Yarrowia lipolytica: one gene and its partners. The protein of the gene in region 3 interacts with the protein of the main gene of each other region in a pairwise test. Links are inferred from orthologs where the notes say so. Each region holds a gene or a part of one and is shown on either strand. Other genes may lie near its edges. The genes, in order: YALI1_B05242g, YALI1_D04969g and YALI1_F27041g.

Evidence for each region.
Region 1: the proteins of YALI1_F27041g (region 3) and YALI1_B05242g interact in binary tests that used the Saccharomyces cerevisiae proteins (3 or more experiments, as listed by UniProt). The link is inferred for Yarrowia lipolytica from reciprocal best matches to the Saccharomyces cerevisiae genes SAS10 and RRP36.
Region 2: the proteins of YALI1_F27041g (region 3) and YALI1_D04969g interact in binary tests that used the Saccharomyces cerevisiae proteins (3 or more experiments, as listed by UniProt). The link is inferred for Yarrowia lipolytica from reciprocal best matches to the Saccharomyces cerevisiae genes SAS10 and UTP25.

What each region holds. Positions count from the first base shown.
Region 1 is NC_090771.1:522,366-525,710, reverse strand, and holds YALI1_B05242g (uncharacterized protein), read right to left. Parts: upstream 1,471-3,345; coding exon 628-1,470; downstream 1-627. Other genes in the region: YALI1_B05226g (uncharacterized protein), read left to right, coding at 3,016-3,345.
Region 2 is NC_090773.1:494,341-498,860, forward strand, and holds YALI1_D04969g (uncharacterized protein), read right to left. Parts: upstream 2,599-4,520; coding exon 586-2,598; downstream 1-585. Other genes in the region: YALI1_D04936g (uncharacterized protein), read left to right, coding at 1-80; YALI1_D04978g (uncharacterized protein), read left to right, coding at 3,557-4,520. UniProt on the Saccharomyces cerevisiae protein: DEAD-box RNA helicase-like protein required for pre-18S rRNA processing, specifically at sites A0, A1, and A2.
Region 3 is NC_090775.1:2,702,596-2,706,439, reverse strand, and holds YALI1_F27041g (uncharacterized protein), read right to left. Parts: upstream 2,303-3,844; coding exon 623-2,302; downstream 1-622. Other genes in the region: YALI1_F27017g (uncharacterized protein), read right to left, coding at 2,681-3,844. UniProt on the Saccharomyces cerevisiae protein: Primarily required at the G2/M phase. Essential for viability: involved in nucleolar processing of pre-18S ribosomal RNA as part of the ribosomal small subunit (SSU) processome.

The DNA of each region.
Region 1 (3,345 bases), on a different chromosome or scaffold from region 3:
AATATCAACAACGTGCCGGAGATATGATCTGGACGGCTGGATATTGTCCAATTTGCAAGTATGAAAGGCGGAAAACAATCCAAAAACCTCCAGAAACACTATCATCCACTCCAATTCTTCCCTGCTCATCCACAACTCCCTCCAGAGTACACCCCTCCAACTCCATTTAGGTTGCCCAAAAGGCGGGGTTTGGGCACCCACTAACTTTGGCCCATCTGTTTGCTGGTAAAGCGCGCATCTTTTTCCGGCCTTTGTGTGGAAAAAGTGAAAAGATGATCATGTGACCAAGTAAGGGGTGTTTTGTCACGTGACCATATCCGTGTCTCTGAGAGAGTTTTCACCGACGACCCTAAGATACTTCGCCTGTTTCCGGATCGACAGGTTAACGCCGCCATTCGATCACGATAGCAACTTATTGGCAAGGGAGAGTAGTCTCATATGGTTGCGGATTGTATACGGATTGGACTGCACCATACATTGATCTTTCTTTCTTTCTTTAATATACAAATAAAATATCTTATGCTATACAAGTGCGGTACAAGTAAAGTACCAACTTTTGGTCTCTGCTTCTATGAATAGTATGAGGTAGCAACAGTTTCGCACCTTATACCGCCTTTCCCCCGTTGCTTAATCCCGCCCACTGAACATATCCTTCTTCTCCTTTCCAGTGATCTTCTTTCGTCGTCGCTCGATGGCTCGATCGATATCCTTCTTCTTCATAGTCTTGAACTGTTCCGTCAGCACCAGCTTTCGCTGGTCGCTTCGCTTCAGATAGTAAGGGTTCTTTCCATCCTTGGCCTGCTCTCTCTGCTGCTGTCTGTGCTCGTTCAGCACCTTCTTTCGGAAGTCTCGCTTCTCCAGAGTCTTGAGTTTCGACTGCAGCGACTGGATCTGTGTCTGGATCTGGGATCGAATGTACGATTCCTCCGTTTTCTTCAGCTTGGCCTGCAGCTCCGCAATCTCCTCTCGTCGGTACTCATCCAAAAATGCATAGTCCTCTCGAACACGGTCCTCATTAGCCTTTCCATAGGTGGCATCAAAACGGATATCTCTGTAGAGCTTGGAGTCACGTGAAGCAGAGTCAGCTCCGGATTTCGTCATGGTCAGACCAGGGATAGGTCGGATCACACTCACTCGCTTCTTACTGGAAGCTTCACTGGGAGCATGCTTGAGTCTCTTCTTGGGTCCTCCATCTTCCTTGTTGTTGCCCTTGCCCTTGTTATTGCCCTTGTAAGAGCTTCTCTCGTACCCTCCGGAGTTTTCTTCGGGTCCCGAGTCGCTGTCACTGTCGCTGTCGTCTTCGTTCTCCTTATCGAGATTCTTTTGCGCGTTGCGAATGGCTCCGAACGATAACGAGCTCATTTCTTCGGGCCCAGAGTCCTTCTCCAGACCGGCAAATGTGTTGTAATCGTCCGAATCACTGTCGTCAGCTCGCTTTCGAACCAGATTTCTGTTTGAGTCTCGCTTCATAGTGTTGTGGTGATATCGAAAGAATATTTCACAGCTGAAGCGATATGCAGATATTTTTTTAAGGTTCCATAATGGAACATCAGCTGGCTGCTAGACAGGCTCTATACAGGCTCGTGCGGTAGGTGACGTCAAAGGGAAAAAGCGAATATACGAAGGATACTGACAGAAATGTGTCTATATCAACAAATACAAAAATCGGCTACGTTTTCACCAAATTTGTGCTACTCTTCTGGGGAGTGTCTAATGACGGACTTTGAACTTTAATTAAGTGGTGCGACTGAGCCTGACTGAGTGAGCATTGGCTGGGGGGAGTCTGTAATGGTGTTAGGTGAGAGCATTGAGAGGAGTCGTATTCAAGCTGGAGAACAAGTAGGATCTGAGAGAGTGGTAAAAATGGTAAGAACTTGGCTTGAAACCCTTCTTTCGAGACTGGTAAAGAAACCCCAATTAGTTTACTTGGAATAGTTGAACAATGGGTGATATAGACGGGCGAGTCTGGTGTTGGATGCCTCGTCTTCCCCGTTCATCGAGGTTTGAACCCTGTCAGATCGGACTGAAATGTGAACTGTCTGGACCACCAGTTGTGGAAGTCTGAGTTCTCTTGTTCCTCATGTACAGTATAACCCGTGTTGTTGCATTCGATACAGAGATTCTCTTAACTGATGTTATACTTAATCAAATATTGAGGGAAAATAAAATAAAAATAATATATATAAAAATAAAAAAACCCAACACAAAACAGCAACAACTAGAGGAAGTACACTACAAGTCATTGAGAATAAACGCTAGGGTAATACTACTGCACCTGTTCTGAATAGCTGTTTCCACAGCATTCGATGTCCTATTTCGACAGTTCGCTAACCGCTTACATTGTAGTTCAAAGACAACAAGTCCGCCCTAAACTATGTACAACGATACATCCAGCAGACGTGGATCTTGTTTCATGTGCTTTTGCGAAATTCGAAACTGTTTTGGCAGACCATAAAAGCGAACCTGTTCCCCGTTGAATACGCACTGTTAGACGTTGGTCAGGGTTTTAGTTGCTTTTTTCTCTTCCATAGCCATGATTTATGCCGTTGTTATCGCCGGATATAGGGTGTGATATTAGGGTGCCAGTGTCTGACAGTGTGCCGGATATAAACGACTGTTCTGTGCCCAAACAGCACTGTTTTCGTCCGAATCAAGCCATTTTTCTGATTTTCGATAAACAGCTGGTATTTCGGCTCTATGGCCTGTTCCCATAGTCCCCTTGTATATAGTACCAACACCCATTTACCACTTGTATATTGTACCAACACCCATTTATAGACCCCCCAGATATATCCATTGCAAGAAACTCTAAAAAACGCATGTAGAGCAGAGCAGAGTGGTGGTAGAGAGACGCTTGGGAAACAAGAGTTGTTAAAGATTGGTCCGTCGGGTCAATTTGTCCCTGAAAAACACATCTTTTCTGGACCTGCGACGTCCATTTACCACATTATACGTTTCCATTGGCACTGCCTACTTGTAGCAGTCGCTTGGCGCGAACTCTATAGTGGAGAGAGCATGTACCGGGGTACGAGTACGAGCGCATTCGTGGCCACACCTGGCCAAACATCACCACATATGCAACTAACCGACGACCATAAGAAAGACCTGGAAAAGCTGGGCGAGGAATTGAAGGGCAAGGAGGAGCACACGGTGGCTGGGGAGGATGAGGAAGATGTCAACCATGGCGCCGACGATTCCGAAGACGCCGAAGACGAAGACGCCGAAGACGAGAACGACTACACCGAACTGGATGTGGACATTGTGTGCCAATTCATCAAGGACGCCGCCAGAGAGGCCGAGAAGACGGGCGACTACATTTCCTACGCAACCGTCATCGACATCCAC
Region 2 (4,520 bases), on a different chromosome or scaffold from region 3:
CAGCCCGAATTGGCGAACGACTCAGTCCGTACGTGTCCCTGTGCTGCATCGCCATGGCCGTCAGCAAGTTGATTGAGTAGTCAGCAACTTACAACTAACATCCATCGACAGATGGCAAAATAGAGAAATAAGCAATGGTGGATATATAGAAATGAGACTTTTTAAAAAGCAGTGGTTATCTGTTAGAGAAGAGGCTTTGTTTGTGGTGTGCAAATGGACAGGCAGGACCTTTTTTCTGAGAAGAACGGATACGAGGAGTTGAGAGTACCTTAACTACAAGTAGATCATACGAGAAGAACATGATAGTTGCATTCTTATATCAAACGGATCGTGTCTACAACCCATGAGTGCTATACCGAAAAGTCTCATGTTTAGCCGTGTGTGAAACGAAGGACATATAAATACAGTAGCTCTCTCACAAGTTACAGTGGGTACACGCATGATCTCGACCAGTTGTATCTTTATTAGTGTCTATATATGTGGTCTTAAAAGAGATTGTAGAGAGTGAGCTACCCGGGAAAGAAATGAGTGAGATCAGAATCCGTCATTAGGTGTATAAGCAGCTTCGGTCTGGGAGTTATGTGTTTAATAAAACTCATAACTGCTCTCTCCGCTCTTTGCCATTGTCTTCACTCTCTTCGTTCCCACAATTCTCTCCAAGGCCAACAGGTCGTAAATGGTAAACAGGGCTCTGCACTTTGCCATAGACTGCTCGAGCGTTCCCTCATCGACCGAGTGGGTCAGAAACAGCAGTAGCTCTCTGTAAAAGGCCGGGTTCTCAGGGAGTTTATAGATAACTACCGACTTGACTCCCTTGACAAAGTATCGTCGGTAGTGATGGAGACGTCCCGTGTACAGCAGAATCTTTTCTCGGCCGTCTCGGAAGAGCGTTCGGTGTCGTTTGACCTCGGTGATGGAAGAATATTCACTGATGGCACCAAAAGAAATGTTCTTCTCGTCCATGTAGTTTCTGAGACGCACAAGTTCGACGTAGGTGGGCACGTAGATGAGAGTTCCGGAGTAGTCTCCCGAGCGAATCATACCCTCAAGCGTGATTTGCACAAAGGCCTTGAATCGGGCATCGATTTCATCGGACACAGACAGAGCCTTGAACCGGGTGAAAATCTGGCGGATCTTCATGCCTGCCACTGCTAGCTCTCCGTTGTAGATTGGAGTGATCTTGGTCTTGCCCGCAAAGTTGACTGTGTTGGAAAAGACAGAGTTGATGGTTGGAGTGACAAACTGGCAGGCGACAATGGTCTGTCGGAAGTGCTTGGCTAGTCCGTCAAGATAGAAGCTCTTGACTCGGCTAAAATCACAGCCATGAGATTCGTTGGGTAGCAAGTTAGTCTGGCCCAGCACCGTCAACACATTGTCCCAGCTCTGCATCTCCATGTGGTTGGTTTCATGCAAGTAGGCGATCTCGATGGACGACAGGAAATCAAACTCCCGCTTGGAGTCACCCTCACTGCCCACAAGCGTTTTGAGACCCAGAGGAGACGCAAATACTATGTCAGCCTGGTAAAAGTACGAGTAGTACCGGATGCTCTTGTTTCGTAGCTTGACGCCCAGACAGAACATGTCGTCAGTGTTGCCCTTGAAGGCCTTCTGGAAGTCCTCGGGCTTGGTGTCGAGCACAGCGCCAGCCTCGTGGAACGCCTTGTTAAACCGCGCCTTGTTATCTTCTCTATCGACTCCTGAAGCGCCAACCAGTAGTTGCATGAACTCGAAACAGGCGTTCTTTGTGGGCACTAGCACCAGCACTCGTGGCTTTGTGTATCCCTGATCCCGGAACTCAACGTCGTGGATTCCCTCCTCGGCGTTTCGTTTCAAAATACGTGTGTTGTATGCCACCTCTTCAGCCGTTCGAACAACATGCTGAGCAATATGCATGGCCACTAGCCGCGAAAACTCCTCGGTATCACTGAGACTCGAGGTGGCGTAGCACAGATCCCGGTAGGCCATGAGTGAAGGGTAAATGGCCTTTTGTACCGACGTCAGAGACCCGTTGAGCTGCTTGAAGCCATCCTTGATCCGGGGCCGAACTGTGTACTTGCTAAACTCGGTTTTTTGGGCTTCGGAAAAGTCCAACAGCTCGTCGGCATCCTCCAGATTTGTGTATGTGATTCGAACGGGCTGGCTACCAATCTTGGTCTTCTCCGACGAGGTTTTCCACTCCTCAGACTTGATGACAGAAACGTACTTGGCTTCCTCAGCCTCGAAATGCAGTTTGTATGGATCGTATTTGTCGGTCTCGGAATCATCTTCAGCGTCCTCCTCGGCGTCATCAGCATCCTCTTCTTCCTCTTGCTCCTCGTCGACCTCCTCTTCTTCCTCTCCAGCACCTTCAATATCGTCCTCCTCCAGCTCCTGCTCCACCGGCTCCTCTTCCTCAACCCGTTTTTCAGCCTTTTTGACATTGTCGCCCATCAGCACCATCAGGGCGTTGTACGACCCCGATGTGTCGACCTGCTGGCGCTTGGGTTTGGTCACTTTGTGAGATCGAGCCATTCTTGCGTGTATGAGTAAGATATTCTGATCCTCAGATATTTTTCCCACTGCATATTCCAGAAGCCTAAAATATTTTTTTATCAACATGCGTAAATGAACGCAACCAGGATTCGAACGGAGACTCGGCGAAAGACACGACGGAGGCTGTCCCTCAGAGGGAGCAGCATCAGCCAGACACTACTTGTACTTGTATGTACGTACGTATACCCGTATCGCACCCCCTTCTGCTGTACCCATAGATCTCATCTGGGTCCAGACTAAGGGTAATAATAACGATGTTACCCCGCTTCTAGCGCACCGTTAAATGAGCCGATCATCTGGCACCACAATAATTTCGGCTCCTCAAACAATCACAAGCCCCCTTGTACTCGTGTGAGTACAGTACCAGCACATTCTGAACCTGCACCCTGTCCCCGCTGTATGGAGATGCACATAAAATTAACTGTGTCTCAGCCCGAGCCCTGACTAAAATAAAGAGACCCGAGCGTCCATATAAGAGGAGAAAGGGCAGTCTCCGAGGTAGTTAGGCTGAAAAGAGATCTTATTGGAAGACAATTCGACTCAATCGTCCCACTTAACGTGTCCTGACAACAACAGCACACCACTACTTCCGTGGTATCTCTACCACCCGAGCTGACTAAAAATAAAGCTTATCTCAATACGGTTGGGTGTGCAAATTTGGAATTTGGATTATTGTGCCAGGGCTTGCCATACGCGTCAGCTCAATCACAGACTACAAGTAGTGTTAGACAGACACCCGAGCGAGAGATTAGCCGAGCGCAAAACAAAAGCCGGTTGAAGCGAAACCAAAGCAATCGGAAACCTGGCAACTCCCTACAATCTGACACAAAACGACCCATCACATTGCCTCGCCCGCGACCTGATACCTCGGCTGTAGTGATAGAAGCGACACAGTGAGACGATAGACACAGACGGTGATAGACGACAGCTCCACGGCTCAACCCGAAACAAGACAATTGGTGAACACAAACACAAACACGCCAATCACACAAACTCCAGAACCCCGTTCTGTTCTCTTTTCCCTATGATCACAATACTAACGCTGTTTCGAGCAGCATACTCGCTGATCCACCTGACGCTGGTGATGATCACAATCCCACTGTCGTTTGACATTGGGGGGCGGTTTTGCGGCCTGGCCTTCTCCTTCACGCTGGTGGTATCGTATTTCATTTTGTCCACCTTCCGCATACTTAGTGGCCGTACCAAGCTGAGACATGTCGCGCAGATTCTCTACTATCTGCATACCATTCTCATTCCGGCGCTGCTCATCTTCTACCTGAGTCTCAATACCGCCAACAACAATGAGCCTGTGGCGCTGCAGCGGCTGGTCATGCCCTGGGATGCGCTCATGCAGAGCTCCGCGCCCTTCTTCAACATTCTCGAGGGCTTCTGCACGTTGCTGTTCATTCAGACCATTGGCCAGGTGTCCAAGTGGCTCGTGCACCGCAAGAGCGATTCGTGGGAAATTGTCCTGCTCATTTCCGCGGGCTGCGTCATTTCCGCCACCGCATACAATCTCTACCGCATCTACATTGCCACGGACTCGGTGGATCTAAGCACCGGCACTCTTGCCGGCATGGTGCTGACGCTGGGCTTCTGCCTCAGCAGCTACGGTGTCATTTCGCGCAAGGGCTCTTCGCTGGAGTCGTCGCTCATCCTCGCATACACCGTCTATTGTCTGTACTTCATATTCCGCAAGTCTAGCACCAGCGAGCCACCCGTGACAATCGAGTACAGCTCCAAGCAGCAGTACCCACCGCTACCTCCACTCATCATGGACTCGTACTCGGCGCTTGCCAAGTCGTTTGCCGCCATTGTGCCGTCATCGTTCACAGCCGTGTTCGACTTCTTTTACGGCGCTATCAGCACCATTACGCCCCACGTGTTTGTGTCGCTCTCGTTCCGCATTGGCGTCTTCTACGCTGCCACGCGGATCATTCCCGGCATCCACTACGCCGGCGGCTTCACCTTTAGATACAGACGGTCGT
Region 3 (3,844 bases):
GTCTTTCTTTTTTTTTAGCATTGTCTGAAATTCATCCAAGCCACCGCAGATAAACGTGAGACATGGGGTGCTGATATCACGATGTGGAGTATGCAAATACGAGTCTAGGGCTGTCATTTGTACCAATACAAAGTATGCGTTTGCGTTCATTTGAAGAATCACGGTTGTGCAGGCAGCCTATACCATACGAGTGTGTCTCTTTAGCGGTCATGCGGTCCAAATAAAGGGTGTTTGGCCGTTTGAGAGAGGGCTGGTAGGAACCAACTGTCCATGCTCACCTCATGCTGAAAGATCCAAATTGTATCAAGAGCCTTTATGTTCATTTATTGCAGTATACAGCTACTCCAAAAAACTATAGACACTTATCTTACTCTCAGGAAGCTCAGTACCGTACAGTACCGGGAAGTACTCGTACTTGTAGTCTCGCTAGCGTAACTATCATGAGCATATATCAGAATAACTACTGAGACGCCCATTTGATTTCTAATCTGTTTCAGACGGTCAGAGACAGAATTACCAGACTATTGTACAAGCGCCGGTACAGTTAGTATACGCCATGACCAGCCAAAACTTTTACAACCTCAGTTCAAATCCAAAACCTCTATTACAACATGCATCTATATTACTCCCGGAACTTGGTAGATCGAGCCAGGTTCTTCTTGATACCGGTCTTCTCACCAGCGTAGGCACCAGTAGGCTGCTTGTAGACGGCCCGGGTACTGGCAAGCTTCTTCTTGGCCTTCTCGTACTTGATTCGCTTCTTGACTCGCGAGTTTCGATTCTCCTTCTTTCGGTGTGGCGTGAGACCCTTGTTTTTGAGAATCTGGTAATTGATGGCTCGCTTTCCGTTGTCGTCCAGCTTTTCCACGTCAATCTTGCCCTTCTTGGCGTCGAGGTAGACCTCATGCATGGCTTCTCGCTCCGCCTTTCGCTGCTGCTTCTTGGCCTTGAGGGCAGCAACAAACTCATCCACATCTTCGTCATCATCTCCACCAGCGCTCTTCTTGGAGGGCATTTCCTGGTAGTCATCAGCAGATCCTCCCTCGTCTCCAGAGTCGTAGAGATCATGCTCTCCCGAGTCCTTGATGTGGGCGGCCTGTTTTTCCTTGAGCTGCTGCTGTCGCTCGTACCATCGGTCCTGGTACGGTAGGTCAGCGTCTCCCTCAATCTCCTCCTGTTCTCGTCCTCGAGCCTGCTTGTCGATCTTGGCGGTATAGAACCGTAGATCTCGCTTTCGTCGGTCCTTGTCAGCCTGATCAACGTCATTAATAGCATGCTCACCATAGTCGGGCACAGCAGAGATCTTGGACTTGGACTTCTTGGCCTTGAAAGAGGTGGGCAGAGCAAGCTCGTCGTCAGAGTCAACTTCTTCCTCCACTTCTTCCACATCCTCGAAATCATCTTCAGGTCGTCGTCGGAATCGAGACAGATCGAGATCGTCAGAGACGTCACTCTCGGCGGCAGAAGCATCCATCAGCTCAGCACCCTCAGAGACCATCTCCTCATCAGAAGCCATCTCATCAACCTCCTCCTCGGGCAGACCAATCTCCTGGGCCATTCGCCACATTTCCCGGGCTTTTAGAATGGCTTCCATGATGATGTGATCTTTCATATTGGCTTTTCCGTTCTTGACGGAGTCCATGAACAGCGCAAAGTAGGCGTTCAGCACTCCAATGTAAGTTCGAAGAGCCGTCTTTTTGATCTCCACGATTTCAGGCTCATCATCCTCATCCTCCTCAGCCTTGTTCAGCGCAGCCATCTCCTCAGTCACTTTGGCAAGCTCAGCGTTCATGAGAACCAGCTCGGGGTTGAGTCGAACAAGCTGATCATACTGCTCCTTAGAAGACATGGACTCGATAGGCTTGACAGGAATGCTCTCTCGAACACCCTTGCCGGCTGTAGCAAGATCTGCATCCTCCTCGTCCTCATCATCACTGTCGTCGGCGGCCCACTCTCCAAGGAAATCACTCTCCTTCATCTGCTTGGCCTGCTTCTTCTGAAGCTTGAGAGCCTCCTCAGCTTCCAGCTTTCGATCCTCCTCGTCCTCGATCTCATCGGCACCGTAAAGCTCTCCCTTGCCCCAGGCCTCCTGGGCCTCTCCGTCGTCTTCTTCCTCTCGGTCGAGAATCTCATCATCGTCGTCTTCCTCATCCTCAGAGTCGCTGGGCTTGAATCCCATAACCTCCTCGTCACTCATCTCCATGTGGTCATAGTGACGACGTCTGTCTCCACGCATACTCTGCTCCAAAAGGAGCTTTTCCTGTTGCTGGTCAAAAGCATCCACGTCCGAGATGTCTGACATTTTTTGTGTGCGATGTGTATCGTAACTGAGGGCCAGAAATAATTTCAGCCTGCATGCAGATAAAATTATTTAAGCTCGGTCATGTGATGCATGTTGGAGCAGAGGAATGGAAAATGAATATTGCTGAATGGGAAGGTGATAAACGGAAATTCCAAATCAGTTAAATATAAAATCCACTCCGTATTGATGTATCTGCACAATTCTTATTATGCTTGAAATGGCCATTGTTGTACACCTACAACAGTTTTCAGATGTACATCTATCTGCCCATCCCATCTACTCGCATGTACTGTGGATACGATAGCTACTATACTAGTCCTGTAATACGTCTCCATACCATAGTTAACGTCTAATTATTGCATGCATCCTGTCTAAATCCTACTCGTCATCATCACTGTCTCCGACGTCCAAAGCGGGCATCTCAAAGTCCGAGCCCATCTCCTCGTCAGAATCGTCGACCTGGTTCTCAGCAACTTCCTCCTCTTCAATTTCCTCAAATTCGGTGGTGGGTTCGATATTAGAGGGTCTCTCAATAGCCTGAACAGGTTCTGCCATCGTCTCAGGCAGGGGCTCAAATGGAGCATCCACAACTACAGGGTTCTCAGGTTCTCTGAAAGCAGTAGAAGCAAATGTGTTGGTAGTGACTGGCGCAGAAGACGCAGAAACAGGCTCAATTCCGTTGGTTTGCTCCTCTTCCTCAATCTCCATTTCTTCGTCAAGCTCCTCTTCCTCTCCAAGAGACGAGGAAACAGGCAAGTATCGTCGTTCGGTAGTCAGAGGAGGAAGTCTAGGATGCACAAATCGGGAAATGGAAGTATCTCGGGGGTACTGCTGCTGAACCATGGCTAGAATACTGTGCTTGGAAGCCATAGAGGGATTGAGCGCTGAAGTGACGGCAGCAGACCGTCGAGCAGCATGCTTAGAAAGCAGGAGAGTTCGGTCAATGAGTCCTCGACATCGTCCAGATAGGTCACATACCAGCATGGTGGCCTCAAGAAATGTGTAGACAGTCTGTTGGGTGATATGGGAGATGGGAGACTCAAACAGATGAGACTTGGAGATGTAATCGGGGATCTCAGTCTGGCCGGCCTGAGACACATTGGTGCCGGGAGTGATGAGAACCAGAGCCTGGGAAACGGCCTTCTCAACGTACTCTTGAACAGAAGAGCCAGCAGAAATGTATCCGACGTTATTGAAGATGGTTGTGAGCAGATCCAGGGCAGCCAAGGTCACCGCAGAGTTGTCAGCAGAGATCATGTCGACAGTCTCAAGCAGGTCCTCGACGTAGGCAGAAATGTTAGCGCCAACAGTGTTAATGAGAGCCGAAAGCGACTGCATGGCGGCAATGTTGATTCGTTCGAATGTGGATCGCACCAGGTTCTGCTCAACCAGAGGAACATGGGCCTTGAAGTGGACCTGGGCCAGAGAGGTGACTCTGTTGAATAGAGGAATGATACGACCAACAGGAATCTTGACGGGCACAGCAGTGGGCTGGCTCAAAAATGCAGTCAGAAGAGTATACAGGTTTTCAATTGCCTTAGC